Linked DNA regions of Arabidopsis thaliana. The protein of the gene in region 2 purifies or fractionates together with the protein of the main gene of each other region. This does not show direct contact. Each region holds a gene or a part of one and is shown on either strand. Other genes may lie near its edges. The genes, in order: AT4G30910, GDH1 and LAP2.

Evidence for each region.
Region 1: the proteins of GDH1 (region 2) and AT4G30910 fractionate together in Arabidopsis thaliana (co-fractionation; one large-scale study listed by BioGRID). This does not show direct contact.
Region 3: the proteins of GDH1 (region 2) and LAP2 fractionate together in Arabidopsis thaliana (co-fractionation; one large-scale study listed by BioGRID). This does not show direct contact.

Annotation. Positions count from the first base shown.
Region 1 is NC_003075.7:15,039,654-15,047,036, reverse strand, and holds AT4G30910 (Cytosol aminopeptidase family protein), read left to right. Parts: upstream 1-1,692; 5' UTR 1,693-1,788; coding exon 1,789-2,019; intron 2,020-2,201; coding exon 2,202-2,616; intron 2,617-2,709; coding exon 2,710-2,904; intron 2,905-3,015; coding exon 3,016-3,241; intron 3,242-3,331; coding exon 3,332-3,458; intron 3,459-3,533; coding exon 3,534-3,776; intron 3,777-3,861; coding exon 3,862-3,922; intron 3,923-4,005; coding exon 4,006-4,193; intron 4,194-4,287; coding exon 4,288-4,416; 3' UTR 4,417-4,680; downstream 4,681-7,383. Other genes in the region: LAP2 (Cytosol aminopeptidase family protein), read left to right, coding at 35-222, 317-448; AT4G30900 (DNAse I-like superfamily protein), read right to left, coding at 4,834-5,105, 5,192-5,286, 5,474-5,688, 5,804-5,905, 5,992-6,074, 6,600-6,641, 6,875-7,016. UniProt on the Arabidopsis thaliana protein: Presumably involved in the processing and regular turnover of intracellular proteins. Catalyzes the removal of unsubstituted N-terminal amino acids from various peptides. Possesses Cys-Gly dipeptidase activity.
Region 2 is NC_003076.8:6,002,888-6,009,974, forward strand, and holds GDH1 (glutamate dehydrogenase 1), read left to right. Parts: upstream 1-3,147; 5' UTR 3,148-3,284; coding exon 3,285-3,392; intron 3,393-3,630; coding exon 3,631-3,744; intron 3,745-3,853; coding exon 3,854-4,075; intron 4,076-4,165; coding exon 4,166-4,240; intron 4,241-4,320; coding exon 4,321-4,437; intron 4,438-4,513; coding exon 4,514-4,764; intron 4,765-4,845; coding exon 4,846-4,921; intron 4,922-4,994; coding exon 4,995-5,081; intron 5,082-5,175; coding exon 5,176-5,361; 3' UTR 5,362-5,673; downstream 5,674-7,087. Other genes in the region: AT5G18160 (F-box and associated interaction domains-containing protein), read left to right, coding at 1-1,022; AT5G18180 (H/ACA ribonucleoprotein complex, subunit Gar1/Naf1 protein), read right to left, coding at 5,674-5,839, 5,959-6,074, 6,162-6,310, 6,580-6,718.
Region 3 is NC_003075.7:15,045,957-15,053,637, forward strand, and holds LAP2 (Cytosol aminopeptidase family protein), read right to left. Parts: upstream 3,483-7,681; 5' UTR 3,349-3,482; coding exon 3,115-3,348; intron 2,896-3,114; coding exon 2,481-2,895; intron 2,373-2,480; coding exon 2,178-2,372; intron 2,054-2,177; coding exon 1,828-2,053; intron 1,742-1,827; coding exon 1,615-1,741; intron 1,540-1,614; coding exon 1,444-1,539; intron 1,349-1,443; coding exon 1,271-1,348; intron 1,181-1,270; coding exon 1,120-1,180; intron 1,047-1,119; coding exon 859-1,046; intron 765-858; coding exon 633-764; 3' UTR 501-632; downstream 1-500. Other genes in the region: NFD1 (Ribosomal protein L21), read right to left, coding at 4,214-4,333, 4,451-4,525, 4,818-4,919, 5,075-5,155, 5,240-5,674; WRKY32 (WRKY DNA-binding protein 32), read right to left, coding at 5,960-6,308, 6,403-6,561, 6,647-7,302, 7,624-7,679. UniProt on the Arabidopsis thaliana protein: Presumably involved in the processing and regular turnover of intracellular proteins. Catalyzes the removal of unsubstituted N-terminal amino acids from various peptides.

The DNA.
Region 1 (7,383 bases), on a different chromosome or scaffold from region 2:
CTTTCGTGATGGTTGACTATTGGTTTTTCTGCAGGCATATATACACCTAGTGATAAGCTTGCAAAGGAGGTGATTGCTGCATCAGAGAGGAGTGGAGAGAAGTTATGGAGAATGCCTATGGAAGAGAGTTACTGGGAGATGATGAAGTCAGGTGTTGCAGATATGGTTAACACTGGAGGCCGTGCAGGTGGATCCATTACCGCGGCTCTTTTCTTGAAACAGGTGAGTATATCATAAGAGTGGAAACAAAAGAACACATTTCAATACTGACGCTATTGTTCTCTAACGAAGAACCGGGTTTGGTTAATGGTTGCAGTTTGTGAGCGAGGATGTTGAGTGGATGCACATAGATATGGCTGGACCAGTGTGGAACGAGAAGAAGAAAGCTGCAACTGGGTTTGGAGTTGCGACACTAGTTGAGTGGGTACAGAACCATTCTTCTTCTTAAGATGAAGTCTGGTGATCTCTGACTGATGTGAACTAGTTGTGTTTTTGCTTTGTGTGGTGGGACAAGTTTTTTTTTTTTGTGCAACTAAGTATGACAAGTTAAATCAATCAGAAGATTAGTTTTGTTGTTGTATGCTTACCTAGTCTAAACTTAAATTCAACAACCACCGTGAGAGACACAGTTGAGCCACCGTTGTTGCTGTGTCCCGTCATGTTGTTGTATTTGAATGGGTCCGTGAGTTGTTGAGAAGGAGAGATAGTCGCCGTTCATCACCACTACAGCCACCGTGTGTCACCGGAGAGTGACACCACGAGTCACAGGATGTCAACCGCTGTCACCGGAGTAGTCGTAGTCCATCGCCAAGGCCGTTAAGGGTAAGGAAACCCTAGATCTATTATGTAACTTGCTCAGGAAGTTTTTGGCTTTCTCTTATGATCTGTGCTTTGTTTTGGTTTTGATTGTTGAGCTATGAGACCTTACTGCCGTGAGCTTAAACCGCCTCATCGAGCCCCGAGCAGATCCACCGAGAGTAATCGCCGAGAAAGGTAACGGCGAACCTTATCTCCCGTGTTTGTTGTTGATTATTGAACCGGATCTTAACCAGTCTAAACCAATGACTCTTAATTTAGTTAAGACCAGAACCGAAACCAATGACAATTTGCGTTGTTGGTGTATTATTACGTCTGTGTGGTGTAACTAGATTATAAGAATTTGGTTTGGTTTAATTATTAAACCAAGTCTAATTAATTTAATTGGAAGAATACCAAATCAATTAATCGAGATTTCTAAATTTGGTTTGGTTATTAGATTAAATCATGTATTTTTAATTGGATTTCACCTATTGATCCACAAATGAGTTACAAAAGTGATAATACTGACGTGTTTTTCAATTTCTTTTATCACTTCGTGTAAGAATGCCTTGAAATATTTGAATTTCTATAAATAGTATCAAAACTATGTTTTGTATAAACAACTTTAAATTTGAAGGCAACAAATAACAGTAGTAAGTATTTCAGATATGGTTATCAAGATAAGTTTAGTAATAGTGAAACATGATCACATTAAAATTTGAAAAGAAGTCTACAGCTAATCAAGATTGTTAAGATCGGGTCGGATAATAGCAATAGTGAGTGAGTCAAGTAAAAGAATAATCATCGTCAACAAGACACGACGGTCGGACGCGGGCGGACGCAAGAAGAGACTGGGCCACTCTAATTTTCTAAGATAACTCTAATTTCATACTATATATATATATATATATATATATGTCTGCATCAGCCACTCTGTTCTTCTCCTTATAAATAAATATAAAGAAGCTAAGCTCAGTGGAGACTTCTCAAATGGCGGTCACTTTGGTAACGTCATGTGCTTCTTCTTCTCGCTTCCATTTCCGCTCTTTCTCCTCTTCTCCGTCGTCTCTCTCCTCTTGTTTCGTACGATTCCAGTTGCTGTCTCGCCTTAGAGTCTCTTTCGCCATCACGCCTCTCTACTGCTCTTCTAAAGCCACGGCTCATACAATCGCACACGCTACTCTTGGCCTTACTCAGGCCAACTCCGTCGATCATCCTAAGGTTTGACTTTGCTGTTATGTGTTTAAACTCGATACTAGTGAATGCTTTGTAGATTCGTCGCTTTACTGTTTCCGATTAAGATGATCCACTGATTTGCTTACTTCGATTATGGTCAAGTCTTGTCAGAGATTAGCTTTCCAGATGCTTAACTGGATTCTGATTACTCGAGTTTTCTGTATCAGATCTCATTTTCCGGGAAGGAGATTGACGTGACTGAATGGAAAGGTGATATACTCGCTGTTGGAGTGACGGAGAAAGATATGGCTAAGGATGCCAACTCCAAGTTCGAGAACCCCATACTGAAGAAGCTTGATGCCCACTTGGGTGGACTTCTAGCTGATGTCTCGGCTGAGGAAGATTTTTCTGGGAAACCTGGCCAGTCAACAGTTCTTAGGCTTCCGGGTCTCGGCTCAAAGCGGGTCGGTTTGATTGGTCTTGGAAAATCTGCTTCAACCCCTTCGGCTTTTCAGAGTCTTGGTGAGGCTGTTGCTGCAGCTGCTAAAGCTTCTCAAGCTAGCAGTGTTGCAGTTGTTCTCGCCTCCTCTGAGAGTTTTTCTGATGAATCTAAGCTCAGTTCTGCTTCAGATATAGCTTCAGGTTGTGATTTCTTTTAGTAAACCTTGAGAAGTGCTTGTTTCATTACCATTTTTGAACTGATCCTTTTGTGGAATCGTTTTTTACTTTTGACAGGCACAGTGCTTGGTTTGTTTGAAGACAGTCGGTATAAGTCTGAGTCAAAGAAACCATCTCTCAAATCTGTAGTATTCATTGGCTTTGGCACTGGACCTGAACTAGAGAACAAGCTTAAGTATGCTGAACATGTTTCTTATGGCGTAATTTTCACGAAAGAACTTGTTAATTCACCAGCCAATGTTCTCTCCCCTGGTATGGATTATAATCATACTCTTAGACTTCTCATGTTTTTTATAATGTGAGCATCATGTCTATTGAAGTTTATTTCAAACATTTGACTCTAATCTGCTTTGTATCTTACAGCCGTACTAGCTGAGGAAGCCTCGAATCTGGCTTCCATGTACAGTAATGTCATGACTGCAAACATCTTGAAAGAGGAGCAATGCAAAGAATTGAAGATGGGTTCATATCTTGCTGTAGCTGCTGCTTCAGCTAATCCACCTCATTTCATCCACCTTATCTACAAACCTTCTAGTGGCCCTGTTAAAACCAAACTTGCTCTTGTTGGAAAAGGATTGACATTTGACAGGTACTCGCAAGAGCTGTTGTCTTCTGTTTGCCGCATCAATCTCTTTCTTTTATACTTATTGGTTATTGACCATCTGGTTTTTGTTCACAGCGGTGGCTACAACATTAAAATTGGGCCTGAATTAATAATTGAGCTCATGAAAATCGATGTGGGAGGTTCAGCTGCTGTTCTTGGCGCTGCAAAAGCCATTGGTGAAATTAAGCCTCCCGGTGTTGAGGTAAGTTTATCACACGGAGCTTGAGTTTCTGAGTTAAGTGAATGTACCTGAACAAATGCTTCTTTGCACAATTAGGTGCACTTTATTGTCGCAGCTTGTGAGAATATGATAAGTGGTACCGGAATGAGACCTGGAGATGTCATCACAGCCTCAAACGGGAAGACAATTGAGGTATCATTACACCGTTTCCATATGAATTCAGCTTCGAAAGGTTCAAGCTTTCCATTGTTAGTGTTGCAGGTCAACGACACCGATTCTGAAGGTCGGCTAACACTTGCAGATGCTCTAGTTTATGCTTGCAACCAGGGTGTCGATAAGGTATTGTTTCAAAGATTCTTCCCCTTATCAATAACATTCTTTCTGCTGGGTTTTCTCTCAACTTGTGAATCATATATATTTGCAGATTGTTGACATTGCAACATTGACCGGGGAGATTATTGTTGCTCTTGGACCATCAATGGCAGGTACATAGTCTTGTGTATAAAATAGACAGAATGACATTCTTTCGTGATGATTGAATATTGGTTTCGATTTTTGATTTCTGCAGGCATGTACACAGCTAGTGATGAGCTTGCCAAGGAGGTAATTGCTGCATCACAGAGGAGTGGAGAGAAGTTATGGAGAATGCCTATGGAAGAGAGTTATTGGGAGATGATGAAGTCAGGTGTTGCAGATATGGTTAACTTTGGAGGCCGTGCAGGTGGATCCATCACCGCAGCTCTCTTTTTGAAACGGGTGAGGATACCATAAGAGTGGAAACAAAAAAACACACTTCAATACTGATTCTATTGTTCTCTAACGAAGAACCGGATTTGGTTAATGGTTGCAGTTTGTTAGCGAGAATGTTGAGTGGTTGCACATAGATATGGCTGGACGGGTGTGGAACGAGAAGAAGAAAGCTGCGACTGGGTTTGGAGTTGCGACACTTGTTGAGTGGGTACAGAACAATTCTTCTTAAGATGTAGGCAGGTGATCTTTGTGCTCCCAGTTCTTATTTAACATTCTCAGAGGTTTTAATGTAGGTAAAAGGGTTTTTATTTGCTTGTGTGAACTGTGAAGTGTGACGCTTGAATATGACGAGTTACCCATTTGAAAGTATTTGACTATTTGTAGATATTCTTGTGTTCCGTAACATCACTTACCTAATAACACAAACTATTAGGAGCACAAGATGAAGGATACAAGTCGTCAATCTTATGTTTCAGTGGTCATCAATAATAACACAAACTATTAGGAGCAAACAAAACAATTTATTTAAATCTCTTTTGAATATGTTTTAGCTCAAATCAATAAATAAAGGCGCCGAGAAAAAAACAGAGCTCATTTGCACAACAATCAGTATAGTCCAAAGCTTAAGCAAGTGAGGACATGTGTTCTAGCTTTCCTCTTGAGCAGGAGCAGAAACAGGAGGAGTAGGTTCAAGCATTCTTACAGAACGAGGAAGCATAAACTCAGCAAACACAGGGTAGTGAGATGAAGGATACAAGTCGTCAATCTTATCATTTACGATCTCGCACATTACAGGAACTATAGATCTACCTCTGTAAAGTATCCAATCCGTGTGTAGATCTTGCGTCTGTCGGTCCCAGCAGAGGCATAACGCTCTGAATATCAGCTTCAGGAACTCGACCGTTCCCTGCTTGTCACCTGAACAAAGGCCCAACATGTTATGATCTAGAAGCTTTGGAGATAAATGATTTTTATAGCTCATGAGAGGGTGGAATGTTTCACACCTTTGAAATCATGGTATGTTCTTATGAGAGCGACGTTTTTTCTTACTCGGGCACTTGGCCATGCGTCTCTCATATCTCCTACCACACCATGCTCTCTGCAAGTTGAATGATGCCCAAAAGCCATTCATCAGCAGTCAAATAAGTAAATATGCTTTGATTTGAAACTAGTTGATCAGTGTGTGAAGAATGGTTTAGCCATTCTTGCATTAACTAGGAGCCCTGAAAGAAAACTCTAGGAGATTGGTAAAAAGCACAAAACTTGTGAATGTGATATTAAGGTACCTAGATCTGCCCAACAGAAACCGCCCTGTTGTTGATTCCTTCTGTGTGTTGAATCCTCCACAGTACACAACCGGCAAAGTGGGAGGTAATGATGCTATGTGTTGCCATGTGAGTAAAGCACTTCGCCTACGGGCACGAGGGCTGATTTCATCCAAGTTTGTGTTGACTATCTGAAACGAAAAACCAGGCGGCTCCGCTCCTTTAAGTTGGAATGTGTAGGCAGCTTGTCAAAGAAAACCAAAATACTGATATATAGGACAAAAACACCAAAATCATAAACTAATCTAATTATAGTTTAACTAAAATGAACCCAACTAGTAAAAAGGATATAGCCCATGTCGCTATACAAGGAACTGCGGAACCCCATGCCGTGCTTCCAGGGACCGAGGGAGACTCTGACAACCAAAAAGTTCCACCCTCTAGCAGCTCTACCTTCAATTAGTATAAAGTATAGTATCAAGCAGCGTATTAATTATTTAGAGCGTAGTTATGTATTGTCTTATCAACCGAATTAATACTTTTTCCTTGTTGAAGAAGATGGTGCAGTGTTCATCATTAGCATCCCCAGGTCCTGTTCTTGATATGCCAAATTGATCATAGGCTGCAAGCAAAGAGTACTACCATCTATTTAAGTTCAAAGAAACAATGCAAACTGAAGTATTATTAAGGCATGTGAAACTAGAAGCTAAGCTCCATGGTTCACAGTAACAAAAACCAGATAAACAATACCACCATCATTTCAAAGAAAGCACCTGTAAATGTGAGAATATCATGCATTCCATTGCCATAAAACAGATGCATTAAGTGCACTAGACTCCGGCTTTTGTAGCCTAAAAACACTAACTTGAACTTGATGCAAAAAAGGATACGGATTGACAAATTGGCTATCAGATTTAAGCAATACCAACATATACTAAAAATAGAATTAAATCTAGTAGATCACAAATAGATTTACATAGTAGATTGAGAACAAGAAGAGTGGTCTACGATTGATAACAAGATTCACACTAGTCTGTGAACTTAAGAAGAAGCAGACTGCTGTATACAAACAGGGTTCAATTAGACCTAACTCACACCATTTAAGTAGAGATTAGACTTCCATAAATCAAAGAGAATTCAATTATACCTGGCAACCCCTGCTGAAGATAATCCAACTGCGACTTCACACCTAACCAATGTAAACATGATAACAAAAGATCAAAACGAAAATCCTATCTCTGTTCAATATTTCAGAAGGCAAGAAAAAGCACAAGAATCAATCTCCAGCATTCAGGAAAAAGAAGCCTTCTTGGAGAACCAATATAAAGAAGGAAGCAAGATCTAACAAGCATTGAATCACCAATACGAAGAAGGAATCAAAGATCTAACAAGCATTGATCCATTGTGGCTAAAGATTATTACCTTGTTGGGTACAGAGAACAATGGGGGAGTAACTAGTGATGACAGTGAGACACAAATCTTTCCTTTTGAGCCATGAATTAGGGCTTTCTTCAGGTAGATCATCGTGAAGATTGAATGACATCACACTCAAAGACACACTCATTGTTTTGTCTCCTTTCTTCTTCTTCTTCTTCCTCTAGTTTTCTCTCTTCTTTCTTTATGGTTTGGTAAGACGAATAAAAACAAAGGTCTCTCTCACATCAGCAGCAGCTCATCGTCGTCGTGACCTACATGATTTTCAATAATAAGTCAAAAGCTTATCAATTTTTATGTGAAAAAACAGCTCAGGATTCGAAGAAAGAAAATCAATCAACATAATTTATTATATTATATTATTGAGGAATCCAATACGAACCTTGTTGTTTCAGACTCTTATCAACAACAACAGTGGAGAAAATGAGTCTTGGACATTTGACGACTTTTGCTGGAAAATCTGTGAAAGTCATGCCCTTTGATCACCAAAAGTCTCT
Region 2 (7,087 bases):
TTGAGATACTCTCAAGACTTCCTGCGAAATCAATCGTCAGATCTCGCTCCGTCTCTAAGCTCTGGTCGTCCATTACCACCACACCAGAGTTCATCAAGCATCGGTCCAAGAAGACATCACCACCTTGTGTTCTACTAATCTTCCGAAAACACGACAAGCTGATCGTTTTCTCGTCTCCCCAACACCAGAATACTTATTCTCATGTGCAAGATTATCACATTGAAATCCCCAAGAATGGTTTCATCCGTCGTCTTGATTCCGTCCACGGTTTGATCTGCTTAGAAGGTTCTAAACAGCTCGTGATTTGTAACCCTACTTTGAAACGATTCTTCCCTTTACCTGAGCCTCAAGGCACCGGTGACGAATACAACGTAGGAGGGTTTCTGGGATATGAACCGATAGAGGGTAAATACAAAGCATTGTGCATTGTCAGAGGATGGAACACTCAAGTTCTTACATTGGAAATTCAAGAATCATGGAGAGTAACCAAACCTGGCTATACACATTGGCCTACTAAAGATACTGGACGATGCATTAATGGAGTTATCTACTATAAAGCTATTATATTTGATAGGGTTCCAAGGCATGTTATATTTGGCTTTGATCTCAGATATGAAGAGTTTACACATATTGAGTTTCCGATGCGTAATTATGACCGCTTTCTTATGGTATCTTATGAGGGAAGGTTGGCTTTGATAAGTTCCACTAGCTCTGTTGTTGAAATCTGGAGTTTGGAGGATGCAGGGAATCGAAAATGGTCGTATGAACAGTTTCATTTATGTCTTCCTCCCAACACAAGTCTGAAGGGTGTTATTGATGCTGGTGAGCTTATTTACACAGGATTTAGTTTGAATAGATCGTTCTGTGTTGTGTATTTTGATCCTAAGAAAAACAATATCAGAGAAACCAAGTTTCAAGGAATTGCGGATAACCAGATTTGGCAACCTGATAGACTTGGATTTGATCTTGTGAATGACTTTTATGTATTACCAAATCACATTGAGAGTTTCATCTCGTTTTAAGAGATTTCATCTTTTTGCATGGAATGACACTATATATTTCTGAAGTGTTCTTCAGATCTTTTTTTGTATCCACTGATTGATTGATCCCACTGGAGATCCCAATATGTTTTAATGATGATACTACATATTCTAGAGACTTAATAGAAACTTTATAAAACTATACATGGAGAGACTGTAATATGTGTTTTTGAGATTGAACCTACGATTCCTCTGTTCTGTTTCTAGCAATTTCCATGTGATCCTTTTCTCAAAAATAGAAAAGAGACTTTTGTCCTAAAGTTAAACAAGTACAGAAGAAGTACTTGAAATCTTCACTCAGACGATTAGAGCTTAGAGCATACGAAGATTAGCCTTAGTTACTTGCAGTATGAATTCAACATTTTGAGACATGGATCTCTGTAAAATTGACCAATATAGTGGTTTTATTATGGTACCTTATGAGAAAAGATTAGCCTGGATAGCCACAAATTCATTGATATTGGAGGACTTGGCTAAATTTGGGCGCTATTAGTCTATTACTAATGCTAGTGAATTTATTGTGTCATGAACTTTGATATTATTAGCAGTTTTAAGAGCCCTCAGGACAATAACATTTGGTAATGAATGTAATAACATCCCTTACATATTAGTGTTATAACACTATCTAGTTTACTCTCAATTTGGATGTGAGAGACCAATAATCATAATTCATAACAACTGATTTTGAGAAGGGTTCTGTTTTGTTTTCCAAAGAATGACACATAGCTAATTATATATGCAAGTTTATGATTCTCTGATAGATTCTTCTTGTTATGATTATCCGTTCACATTGAAGGGCTTTGTCATAATTTGATTTTTCTTTAGTTTGAATATATCGTAAGTCCTAAACATGCATGTCTTATTAAACAATGTGGGCTCTGCTCTGAAGACTATTGCCTACATTTATGCTATCTACTCAATCCCTTAGGAGTTATGGCATTTAGTTTCCAGCTGATGATATGTAGAACATTCATAAGCGAGCTCAAGATTCTACAATACGTGTATAAAAGATGAAGCCTAAGCTACTACTAGGCTGCATCGGTCAAAACACACAAGCCTTGTCTTTTTGTTTCTTTTTCTTACAAAAACTTTGTCTCCTACAGTGACTTCACCACCAACACCATCACTGACAAACACTAATAATGAAAGACCAAATTCGTATCACAGAAAGATAAGACTGAAAAATCAAAATGTTTCAATAGCATTAGCCTCCAGAAGAAATAACAACAGTCGTTGTACTTGTATCCTAGCTAAAAGCAAAATGTAATTGATTTATTGCGAATTAAACTCTATCTTGTTACAAACTTTAACAAAAGTTTTAATATTTTGAATTCCGTACATGTAAATGGAAGCATATTAATTGGGAAAACAAAAGAAACATAGTGGATAAGATTGTTTACAAGTCAACACACACCAATTTAGAAAAATCAAAGAAATCCCGATTTGATGCGAACATGACGACGCAACCATATCTCTCCAAATCAAAAGATTATGTGTGTCACATTCCCCACTAATTTCACTTATATCTAGCATAAGATGCCATATAATATACATGTAGTATGTAACGTTTTGAGAATGTTCTTATTCGGCGAGATTATTTTTCTGACAATACATAGCACAATGTTTAGTTTTCCCAAACTATATAATTGGAAAATTTTCCAATGACATCTCAAATATGTCGACATATCCAACCGTAATTCCGTAAATAGGAACAAAAACATCCAAAGAATTTAAGTCTAGTTGATCTCAAATTTTAGGCAAGTTGCAAATAAACACAAGTATATTTTAGTTGAATTATACAACTAAACTCAAAAGTACATGTTGTTCCAGAAATTAAACAGATAGACAGTTAGTTGGTAAAGATTTAATTAGTTGATTCAAAAAAGAAAAAAATTTCTCGAGTTATCTTAAAGTATGTTTGTCTTAACTTATCAAAATTATATCTAAAACCCACTTAAAGGCTTAAACCATGATTATTGTGTCTTGTCTTTTTTTGTAATTAAATTACTTAATCAGCTCCACCGTAATCAGCTGGACCTCCACTGAATCTTACCCAAACATATCGATCACGTGCCTGTGTATAAATAAATACATACACACTTAACAAGTTACAATCAGACTGACACCAATCTTCCTCTTTAACAGTCGTTTTATTACAGCGTTCTGATCAAAACTCCAGTGAAAGTTCAAAGTACACAGAGAGAAACAAAAAAAGAAGAAGAAGAAGTTGAAGAAGAAGAAGCCATGAATGCTTTAGCAGCAACAAACAGAAACTTCAAGTTAGCTGCTAGGCTTCTTGGTCTGGATTCTAAGCTCGAGAAAAGTCTTCTCATCCCCTTCCGAGAAATCAAGGTTCGCAAATTTTCACTCCTTTCTTAACCTAATTAACCTTGATCCGCTGATTTTGTGCCTTCGCCGGCGCCGGAGACGATTCGTCGCGGTGGATTGTAGTGAAAAATGATTACTGAATGTTTAGGGGCATTTCGAAACCCGACCCGCTTTTTTGTGGATCCAGTTACTTCAATCCGGTTGCTGAATTATATAACCGGAACAAACCAATTTAAATCAACCGGTTCTGGTATTTTTGTAGGTGGAATGTACCATACCGAAAGACGATGGTACACTAGCATCATTCGTTGGGTTCAGAGTTCAACACGACAATGCAAGAGGTCCCATGAAAGGTGGAATCAGATATCATCCTGAGGTTTTTGACCTTTTGACTTTGACCTTTTGAACCAAAACTCAAATGTAACAAACCAGTATACAATTTCGGTTTTGGTATATGATGCAAACCGGTTATCGTTTTCTTGCAGGTTGATCCGGATGAAGTGAACGCATTGGCTCAGCTCATGACATGGAAAACAGCAGTGGCTAAGATTCCTTACGGAGGAGCTAAAGGAGGGATTGGTTGTGATCCTAGCAAGCTCAGTATCTCCGAGCTCGAGCGGTTGACTCGAGTTTTCACTCAGAAGATTCATGATCTCATTGGGATTCATACTGATGTTCCAGCTCCAGATATGGGCACTGGTCCTCAGGTTCTTAAACTCTCTTCAGAACGTTTCCAAAATGTTCTGTGTTTTTTTTTGAAACCATCTTTCAACTTTTTCCCTTGGTGGAATTTGCAGACAATGGCTTGGATTCTTGATGAATACTCTAAGTTTCATGGATACTCGCCTGCAGTTGTGACTGGAAAACCCATTGTAAGTAAAGAATAATCACAATCTTGTTTTGCTAATGACTGGTTTAACCACCTGAATGTTTAATGATGTTTATGAACCAGGATCTTGGTGGATCGCTAGGGAGAGACGCGGCTACTGGAAGAGGAGTGATGTTTGGTACCGAAGCTTTGCTTAACGAGCACGGAAAGACCATATCAGGGCAGCGTTTTGTCATCCAGGTGACCTTTCTTTTATTGCGGTTTCCTGCGAGCCAAAGAAACTTTTCTTATTCTGGTTTACATATTGGTTCATTAGGGATTTGGTAATGTGGGTTCTTGGGCGGCAAAGCTGATAAGTGAAAAGGGTGGGAAGATTGTTGCCGTGAGTGACATTACCGGAGCAATCAAGAACAAGGATGGTATCGATATCCCGGCCTTGCTCAAGCATACTAAAGAACACAGAGGTGTCAAAGGGTTTGATGGTGCAGATCCGATCGATCCAAACTCCATACTGGTTGAGGATTGTGATATCCTCGTCCCTGCAGCACTTGGTGGTGTCATCAACAGGTTAGAGCTTTTTTTTGCTACAAAAGCTTACATATTGTTTTGAAACTTTTTAAAAACTATTAGTTGGATTTTGGTTTGAAGGGAGAATGCGAATGAGATTAAAGCAAAGTTCATCATAGAAGCAGCTAATCATCCAACTGATCCGGACGCGGATGAGGTTTGATTGTCTTCTTCTTTGACTTTGGAGTTTCTCATTGCGAATCTCTGTAATGGAGATTCTTGTATTACAGATCCTAAGTAAGAAAGGTGTGGTTATTCTCCCGGACATATATGCAAACTCTGGAGGAGTCACTGTAAGTTACTTCGAATGGGTTCAGGTATGTATGAGTCTCTCAACAACTTACCTTTGACAGACCAAGTACTCGAACAAAACCGATTTTGATCAGATTAGTTGTTTCCGGTAATGTGCAGAACATTCAAGGCTTTATGTGGGAGGAAGAGAAGGTGAACGATGAGCTAAAGACTTACATGACTCGCTCTTTCAAGGACTTGAAAGAGATGTGCAAAACTCACTCTTGCGATCTCCGGATGGGAGCTTTCACACTCGGTGTTAATCGTGTGGCTCAAGCTACCATTCTCAGAGGCTGGGGAGCTTAAAGATTATCTAATCTCTTATGCAATCTCTTTAGCAGCTCCTGAATAAGAATTGAGCCAAACTTTAATCTACTTTTTGTTTTATCCTCCTACTTTGGCTTAGAGGTCATCCTGAGTTAACAGATATGTGTTTACAAGTACTAGAAGACGCTTCTGTATGTAATAAAACCTTGGACTCTAATAGTTAATGAGCTTTTTTACTCTCTTGTTAATAAAACCAAGGTATCAAAAAACTAGAACCAAGAAAACAGTTATCATCAATATGGTTCTTAAAAAAAGCAATTTAAAGATAGCTTAAGGCTATAGAATATGAATCTAGGCCCTCCCTCGGCCTCTGAAGCCTCCACGAGGACCACCTCTTGGTTGAAACCCTCTGCTAGCACCTCTGGGAGCACCTCTACCTCTGAAATTGCCTCTACCACGGGGAGGCCCTCTACCACGGGGAGGGACTCTTCCTTCACCACGGCCTCCTGATTGTCCCCTGCAAGAAGAACAGAACAAAGACTTTCGTTACAGACTTTTTCTAACACTTGAACAAGTTTCTTCTACTACTTCAAGGGACCTAAGAATTGGTAACAAGGGTTAAGAAGTGTAGCTTACTTTGGTTGAGGAAGGAATCTTGATAGAGGTAAAAGCTTCTCAGGGCTAATGAAGAACTTATCGCCTTGACTATATGAGGTAGCTACAATACCTTCCCTCATTTTGATAGAAAATAGCTGAAAAAGTAAGAACCAATGCTTTGTATATTAGTGAGCAAGGCCAGTGAACGAAGAAGACAACAGAGAGAGAGAGATAACACATACAGATTCATTAATAGGACCAAAGATTTCATCTACTCTCCCAATCTGGGTCTTGTTTTGTAGGTAGATTGGGGCATTGAAATGTGGGATTTTCACATTGGAGAGCTTGAACACAGCATCTCCCTCACAAGCATGGAGAAAAGTTGCAACTTCTGTATAACACCACCAAGAAAGAAACTCTATCATAACAGAGACAATTCACAAGTTTGTTCCTTTTCAATTAACTTCAAAACTGTCACAAGAATCCAACAAAATCCTAATAACAGGAAAACAAATCATCAATCAGAATACAAAAATTTTCTTTTTGTCAAATTTCAGCAACAAACGCTCATTAATGTCAAAGCTGACAACTTTTTTCAATAATTTTTATCTGCTTGATTGGTAAGAATGAGAGAATCGTCAAAGAGGGTTGAAAACGAACCAACGACTTCGCTGGGAGGTCCTTCGTCATAATTACCACCACCAAAGCGTCCACGTCCACGTCCACGTCCACGTCCACGTCCGCCGTTATCTCTTCCTCCCCTTCCCCTGAAGCTGCCGCCGCCACGTGGTGGTCTCATCTTTTTGGTTTTGGTTTCTTCTATCGCTCTCTGCTCCTCAGAGGTTTTTATTTAGGGTTTCAGCGAGGGAAGCAATTGCCAATTGGAGTGTTGAAGAAGTAGTTGTGACTCTTAATAACGAAAAGAAAAAAAAGAAGGTAAACCACTAGGGTTTTCAGCAATCCCAGACCGGGTTACGACTCGTTAAACCGGGAAGAGATAAAATTTTCTTTTAGTAAATTTGTCAATAATTTTTGTAAAAATTTAACAAAAGATTTGAATAACAATGAGATATTATTTTATTTATTTATGCTTATGTCGGTTTAAGTTTGGTTTGGCTTTCTCACATTTCATTTATTTTAAACACTTGAAAGTTGAAACAAAGACTCA
Region 3 (7,681 bases), on a different chromosome or scaffold from region 2:
TAACTAAATTAAGAGTCATTGGTTTAGACTGGTTAAGATCCGGTTCAATAATCAACAACAAACACGGGAGATAAGGTTCGCCGTTACCTTTCTCGGCGATTACTCTCGGTGGATCTGCTCGGGGCTCGATGAGGCGGTTTAAGCTCACGGCAGTAAGGTCTCATAGCTCAACAATCAAAACCAAAACAAAGCACAGATCATAAGAGAAAGCCAAAAACTTCCTGAGCAAGTTACATAATAGATCTAGGGTTTCCTTACCCTTAACGGCCTTGGCGATGGACTACGACTACTCCGGTGACAGCGGTTGACATCCTGTGACTCGTGGTGTCACTCTCCGGTGACACACGGTGGCTGTAGTGGTGATGAACGGCGACTATCTCTCCTTCTCAACAACTCACGGACCCATTCAAATACAACAACATGACGGGACACAGCAACAACGGTGGCTCAACTGTGTCTCTCACGGTGGTTGTTGAATTTAAGTTTAGACTAGGTAAGCATACAACAACAAAACTAATCTTCTGATTGATTTAACTTGTCATACTTAGTTGCACAAAAAAAAAAAACTTGTCCCACCACACAAAGCAAAAACACAACTAGTTCACATCAGTCAGAGATCACCAGACTTCATCTTAAGAAGAAGAATGGTTCTGTACCCACTCAACTAGTGTCGCAACTCCAAACCCAGTTGCAGCTTTCTTCTTCTCGTTCCACACTGGTCCAGCCATATCTATGTGCATCCACTCAACATCCTCGCTCACAAACTGCAACCATTAACCAAACCCGGTTCTTCGTTAGAGAACAATAGCGTCAGTATTGAAATGTGTTCTTTTGTTTCCACTCTTATGATATACTCACCTGTTTCAAGAAAAGAGCCGCGGTAATGGATCCACCTGCACGGCCTCCAGTGTTAACCATATCTGCAACACCTGACTTCATCATCTCCCAGTAACTCTCTTCCATAGGCATTCTCCATAACTTCTCTCCACTCCTCTCTGATGCAGCAATCACCTCCTTTGCAAGCTTATCACTAGGTGTATATATGCCTGCAGAAAAACCAATAGTCAACCATCACGAAAGAATTTTATTCTGTCTTATTTAAAACACAAGACTATGTACCTGCCATTGATGTTCCAAGAGCAATAATACAAGCCCCAGTCAATGTTGCAAGGTCAACAACCTGCAAATATTGTAATTCACAAGTTGAGACTTGAGAGAAAAACCAACAGAAAGAATGTATTAATAAGTCGAAGAATCTTTGAAACAATACCTTATCGACACCCTGGTTGCAAGCATAAACTAAAGCATCTGCAAGTGTTAGTCGACCTTCAGCATCGGTGTTGTTGACCTGCAATACCACCCACAATTAGTTTGGCGTAAAACTAACAATGGAAAGCTCGAACCTTTTGAAGCTGAATTCATATGGAAACGGTGTTATGATACCTCAATCGTCTTTCCGTTTGAGGCTGTGAGGACATCTCCAGGTCTCATTCCAGTACCACTTATCATATTCTCACAAGCTGCGACAATAAAGTGCACCTGATTGTGCAACGAAGCATTTGTTTAGGTACATTCATTTAACTCAGAAACGCAAGCTCCGTGTGATAAACTTACCTCAACACCTGGAGGCTTAATTTGACCAATGGCTTTTGCAGCGCCAAGAACAGCAGCTGAACCTCCCATATCGAATTTCATGAGCTCAATTAAGCAGCCAGGCCCGGTTTTAATGTTGTAGCCACCGCTGTGAACAAAAACCATCTGGTCAATAACTAATAAGTATTAAATAAAGAGATTGATGCGGCAAACAGAAGCCAACAGCTCTAGTACCTGTCAAATGTCAATCCTTTTCCAACAAGAGCAAGTTTTGTTTTAACAGGGCCACTAGAAGGTTTGTAGATAAGATGTATGAAATGAGGTGGATTAGCTGAAGCAGCAGCTACAGCAAGATATGAACCCATCTTCAACTCTTTGCATTGCTCCTCGTTCAAGATGTTGGCAGTCATGACATCACTGTACATGGAAGCCAGATTCAAGGCTTCCTCAGCTAGTACGGCTGTAAGATACAAAGCAGATTAGAGAAAAATGTTTGAAATAAACTTCAACAGACATGATGCTCACATTATTAAAAAAAAAAAAAATGAAAAGTCTAAGACTGATGCTCAAGAAACAATCCTCACCAGGAGTGAGAACATTGGCTGGAGAATTAACGAGTTCTTTCCCGAAAATAACGCCATAAGAAACATGTTCAGCATACTTAAGCTTCTTCTCTAGTTCAGGTCCAGAGCCAAAGCCAATGATATCTACAGATTTGAGTGATGGTTTCTTCGACTCAGACTTATACCGGCTGTCTTCAAACAAACCAAGCACTGTGCCTGTAAAAATAAACAACAATTCCACATAACGATCAGTTCCAAAATGGTAATGAAACAACCATTCTCGAGCTTTAATAGACGAAACCACAACAACAACAAATAAAACACCTGAAGCTATAGCTGACGCAGAACAGAGCTTAGATTCATTAGAAACACTCTCAGAGGAGGCGAGAACAACTGCAACACTGCTAGCTTGAGAAGCTTTAGCAGCTGCAGCAACAGCCTCACCGAGACTCTGAAAAGCCGAAGGAGTTGAAGCAGATTTTCCAAGACCAATCAAACCAACTCGCTTAGACCCAAGACCCGGAAGCCTAAGAACTGTCGACTGACCAGGTTTCCCAGAAAAATCTTCCTCAGACGAGACATCAGCTAAAAGTCCACCCAAGTGAGCATCAAGCTTCTTCAGAATCGGGTTTTCGAACTTGGAGTTCACATCCTTAGCCATGTCTTTCTCCGTCACTCCAACAGCGAGTATATCACCTTTCCATTCCGTCACGTCGATCTCCTTCCCCGAAAATGAGATCTGATACAGCAAATTCGACTAATCAGAATCCAATTAACCACAAAAATTCAAACTCGAAAGCTAATCTCTGACAAGACTTGACCATAATCGAAGTCAGCAAATCAGTGGATCATCTTAATCGGAAACAGTAAAGCGACGAATCTACAAAGCATTCACTAGTATCGAGTTTAAACACATAACAGCAAAATCGAATAATGCTGCAAGCGATCAGGAACAAACCTTAGGATGATCGACGGAGTTAGCCTGAGTGAGGCCGAGAGTAGCGTGTGAGATTGTATGAGCCATGGCTCTAGAAGAAGAGTAGAGAGGCGTGACGGCAAAAGCGAGTCTAAGGCGAGAGGGGAACTGGAATCGGACGAAACAAGAGGAGAGAGACGACGGAGAAGAGGAGAATGAGCGGAAATGGAAGCGAGAAGACGAAGAAGCGAAGGACGTTACCAAAGTGACGGCCATTTGAGTAACGCACTGAGCTTCTCTTATTTATAAGGAGAAGAAAAGCCGCGTTTGTGCTTATCTCTCTCTCTCTCTTGTTGACGATGATTCTTCTTTTACTTGACTCATTGTTTGCTTTTATCCAACCCGTCCCCACCCGACCCGATCTTAACCATGGACTTACGTACTCGTGTAGCTTTATAATTCTCTTTGGCTCCAAATTGCTTTTGTTTAAGTTCTTTATACATATTTATACAAACAATGGTTTTGATACTATTTACAAACATTCAAATATTTCAAGGCATTCTTACACGATTTTCCGATGTTGATAAAAGAAATTATAAATCAGTTCCAAGTACTATCAATTCTGTGAATCATTTGTTGATGAGGAAGTGGTTGCCATATATAGTTACAATAATAATCACCTGATCTAAAGAGTCATAGTGGAAAAAATCGAGATTTTGAGTGTAATGTGACTTGCAGTTATTACCAATTTACCACCAGTTTCATATCTGTGACCGAGACTTGCATGAAGAAGTAAATTAAACCATAACCAAACCACAGTAGTACAGTACAAAGTACAAAGCATAGAGAAGATAAGGAGAGAGATGTTTCCGCAAATCTTTATTTCTGAAACAGAAGCAACAAACAGCTCCCACAAGCATGAGCCAGTTTAAATACAAAATGAAGAGCAAGGAGAACAAGACAGTGAAAGGCAAATCACATTTCATATCTCAGGAGCCTAGTTACTTACCACTAACTACCAAGAAGGCCTTTTCATCATTTCAACGACTTTAAAATCTAGTTCTTAGTGAACAGCAAGTGATAATTTAACTTACTTCAAATGTATCGGCATCAGCAAAAAAGAAAGAAGCAAATTTTATCTCTAAGCAACTAGCTCAGCCTTCGTCTGTTCTGTAACAGCTTCTTTCGAAGGCTTATGGACGATCTTCGGTTCTGGTTTTTCAATTCCTTGTATATCGGTTATTCTCAACTTCGTCAATTCCTGGACACAAGTGTTGAATGGTCAAAAACAACAATCATAACACAGTGGAAAGAACTAGAAGAAGGCAAAGATGAAATAAACACACTGTCTATCTAAACAAGGAGTTATAAAGTATACCTGTCGATGTCCTCTCGTTCTCCTATAATTCTTTCTTCGTTTCTTTTTGAAAATGAGCACTTTTTCATCCAAAGCCTGTCACGCATCAAGGAAAAACTAGTTGAGTAATGCTGGTACATGAGTAGATCCTTCTACATTCCAAGCCCATCTTAAATCAAGACATTCAGATGATGTAGAGATAGATGAACACTAATCTAATGACTTGCAAGACTTTCACAAACTAATCAGCAGACAGTTTGATTTAGTTTCTCTCAGTCACCGGATTCAGCAAGCAAACTCTCATCTATCCTCTTTTCAATTGTAAATTATTCTTAAGCACAGCTTCACTAGTATTATAAAACACCAAGCAAGTCAATGAGACACTTACATGCTCTTCAACTACAGCATGAACTGTCGCATCTGGCAAAATAGGCCTACCAATAATCGTCTGGCTTGCCGAGCCCAATAGAAGAACCTTGGTTAGTTCCAACTGCAAAGGGACATAAAGAGAAAGGTTTTAGCAACAATCATAAATCATAAACACAAATGCAAAGGTTCGTCCTTCTTACGAGAGATACGGTAAAGTCTAGCCCTTTGAGAGAAGAATAGCAAAGATTAACGAAGAAGAGCTTGAAGCTAGCATACCTTATCATTGATGTCACAGAATTTCAACTTCTCGGTGAAAATGGAGTCCCCATTGCTAACTTTAAACTGATGCGAACCAATCTACAGGATAAAAATAACCACTCAGCATCAGTGAGAGTGAGAAATGAAACTAAAGGATTAATTGAGATAGCACAGAGACGAGACCTGAACAATGGCAAACACTGGTTCATAGGGTTTGAAAAGTCTCTCCGAAGGTTTAAGAGGACCCATCACCTTGTACCCTATCTCCTCCGCCTCTTCCACTTTCTCCGCCGGTGAATATTCCCTTTCTACTTCCATATCCGCCGAATCCTCAAAGTCTTCCCCCTCCTCCTCATCATCATCCTCTCCTTCACTGCTTTCTTCATCTTCATCAGTATCCTTTGTGTTCGAAGAGAAACAACGATCTTGAGAGCGATACCAATGACTGTACCATGGCAAATTCCTAGTGAGAGATCGATTCGGAATTACGGTCCCATGAGAAATGCTGGTCCCGGAAAACTCAATCCCATGAAATGAAGAGATCGATCGCGTCTGGTTGATGGAGAAAACAGTCGTAGCGCGGCGGCTCAGCTCACGAAAGCATCGAAGACTCGCCATCGGAGAGCACGAACACACTAGGGTTTACACAGAGTAGAGAGAAAGGGTTTTTGTTCTCGTCTTTTAGTCCCTTTCAAGTTTCAGAAGACCCTCTAGACGAACCAGAGGCTATTCACTAAAATTAGCGATTTAATATCACAATAAACATATACCATCATTACACAGACGAATGTTAACGTATTTAGTTGGTAATCTTCATGGGGTTTTTTATTATTATTATATAACAAGAACAAGGAGGCGAAAATTGAGTCGATGAACTCTATAAAACTCATAAACTACATATAATCAGCATTGCTTGATTTCGAATCCAATGCTCAACAAAGTCCTAGCTGATTCCATCACTTTCTCTCCACCAACGTCCAATGCTTCTTTACTCTGCTTCTCACTTTCTCGCCCCACCGAGCACTGGCTTGAAGTCGGAATGTTCACCTGATCGTCTGTCCTGGTTCTCATTGATGTTGGAGCGGCTGCAGCTACGAGCATTGAGCTTGGAGGACCATGGCGTTTCTTAGGCACCGGCATGTCGTGGTTGTGTACTCCTTTGTATGTGATTATTACTGCTTTTGTGTTCTCGACTGCTGTCTCAATGTGTTTACGAACTGGACATCCCGCTGAAGTGCATCGGTAGTAGTTCCTGAATGTTTGAAACAGAACAAATCAATCACCATGCGTATTAGAAGATGTCATATGTGGATAAAGAGATGGGTCATGCGTTTAGTTTTCTAGACCTTGGATGAGGATTTCCTTTCACCATTTTCTGCCCGTATTTACGCCACCTGTATCCATCACCACAGATACCAACATCACCAGCTGCGTGTACTACGAATTTGTTTTTCTTTCCAGGTTTGGAGACAGAATCTGAACTCTGTGAGTTATCTTTTTTCAGTCTGAAAAATAGAGAGAAGAAAGTCTATTAATTTCATCTTTCAAAGTGAAGAGTAAGCACCGAAATGCAAAATTCTACAAACTTGCCTTCGTTTTGGCTCTGGTTCCTCCACAGCTTCGTTCTCACAGTGTCTTTTCCGGTCAACGAGTGTTTGCGACTCACAGATGTATTCTTTAGTAGAAGCAGACGGATCTGAACCGCTAGGAACAATTGATAGCTCTTCTACTACTGTATCATCCTCTGAAACAGGCCGGATAGCTGTTGTAACTCTAATCTCTCTCGGGGAGAAGCTAGTCTTCCGGGGAGGTTCATGAGTATGTAAACCTTTGTTAACAATCTCTACCACATTGCCTGAATCATTGGAGCATTCAATTTTTTTAGCACAACATTCAGTGTATGTACACCTGTAGTAACTCCGTGAGCCCTTGGGACTCTTAACCTGCTTCTGTCCATATTTTCTCCAATTATAACCATCACGAGCCGGTGTCCTAGGAACAGGAGTAACCGACAATCTGTTAACCACCGGCGAATCTGATCTTTGCTCTTGTTTAGTTGGAACTGAAACCAGTGGTAAATCTTGTGCGGTTGAAGCAGTTGCAGGATCCAAAGATAGACATGGCGTCACTGTCAATGAGTCTGACGATGCAGCCAGAGAAGGAGATGTTTCTACCTGACGATTCTCTTCCACTTCATCAACCGGCACAATCGCACTTACAACAGTTTCCTTGACGCTATCAGTCTCCTGCCAATGTGATACAAAAAGCAGTTAAATGTCATGCCTTGATAACAGTGATTCTTGTCCTCAGAATTGCCTAAGAAATCAGACACACTAAAATGTAACAGATCAAACTGATACAGATACAGATTGAACTTGGCCAAAGGTTAAAACCATTACGATTAATCCTATTCCCATGTTATTGTATAATCACTGAACGAGTAACATCGAAGACACTGAAATGAGTTAAACTTTACAAGTTCTAGCACAATCAATGTTAATGAGAGAATCAAAGTTGTAAGTGTTAAGAAAGTTTATGAATAGCAGAAGAGTCTGAAGCAAACTCACATTCACTTCTAATACATCTTCAACATTTGGTTCCACAGAGGAATTTTCTCGAACACCT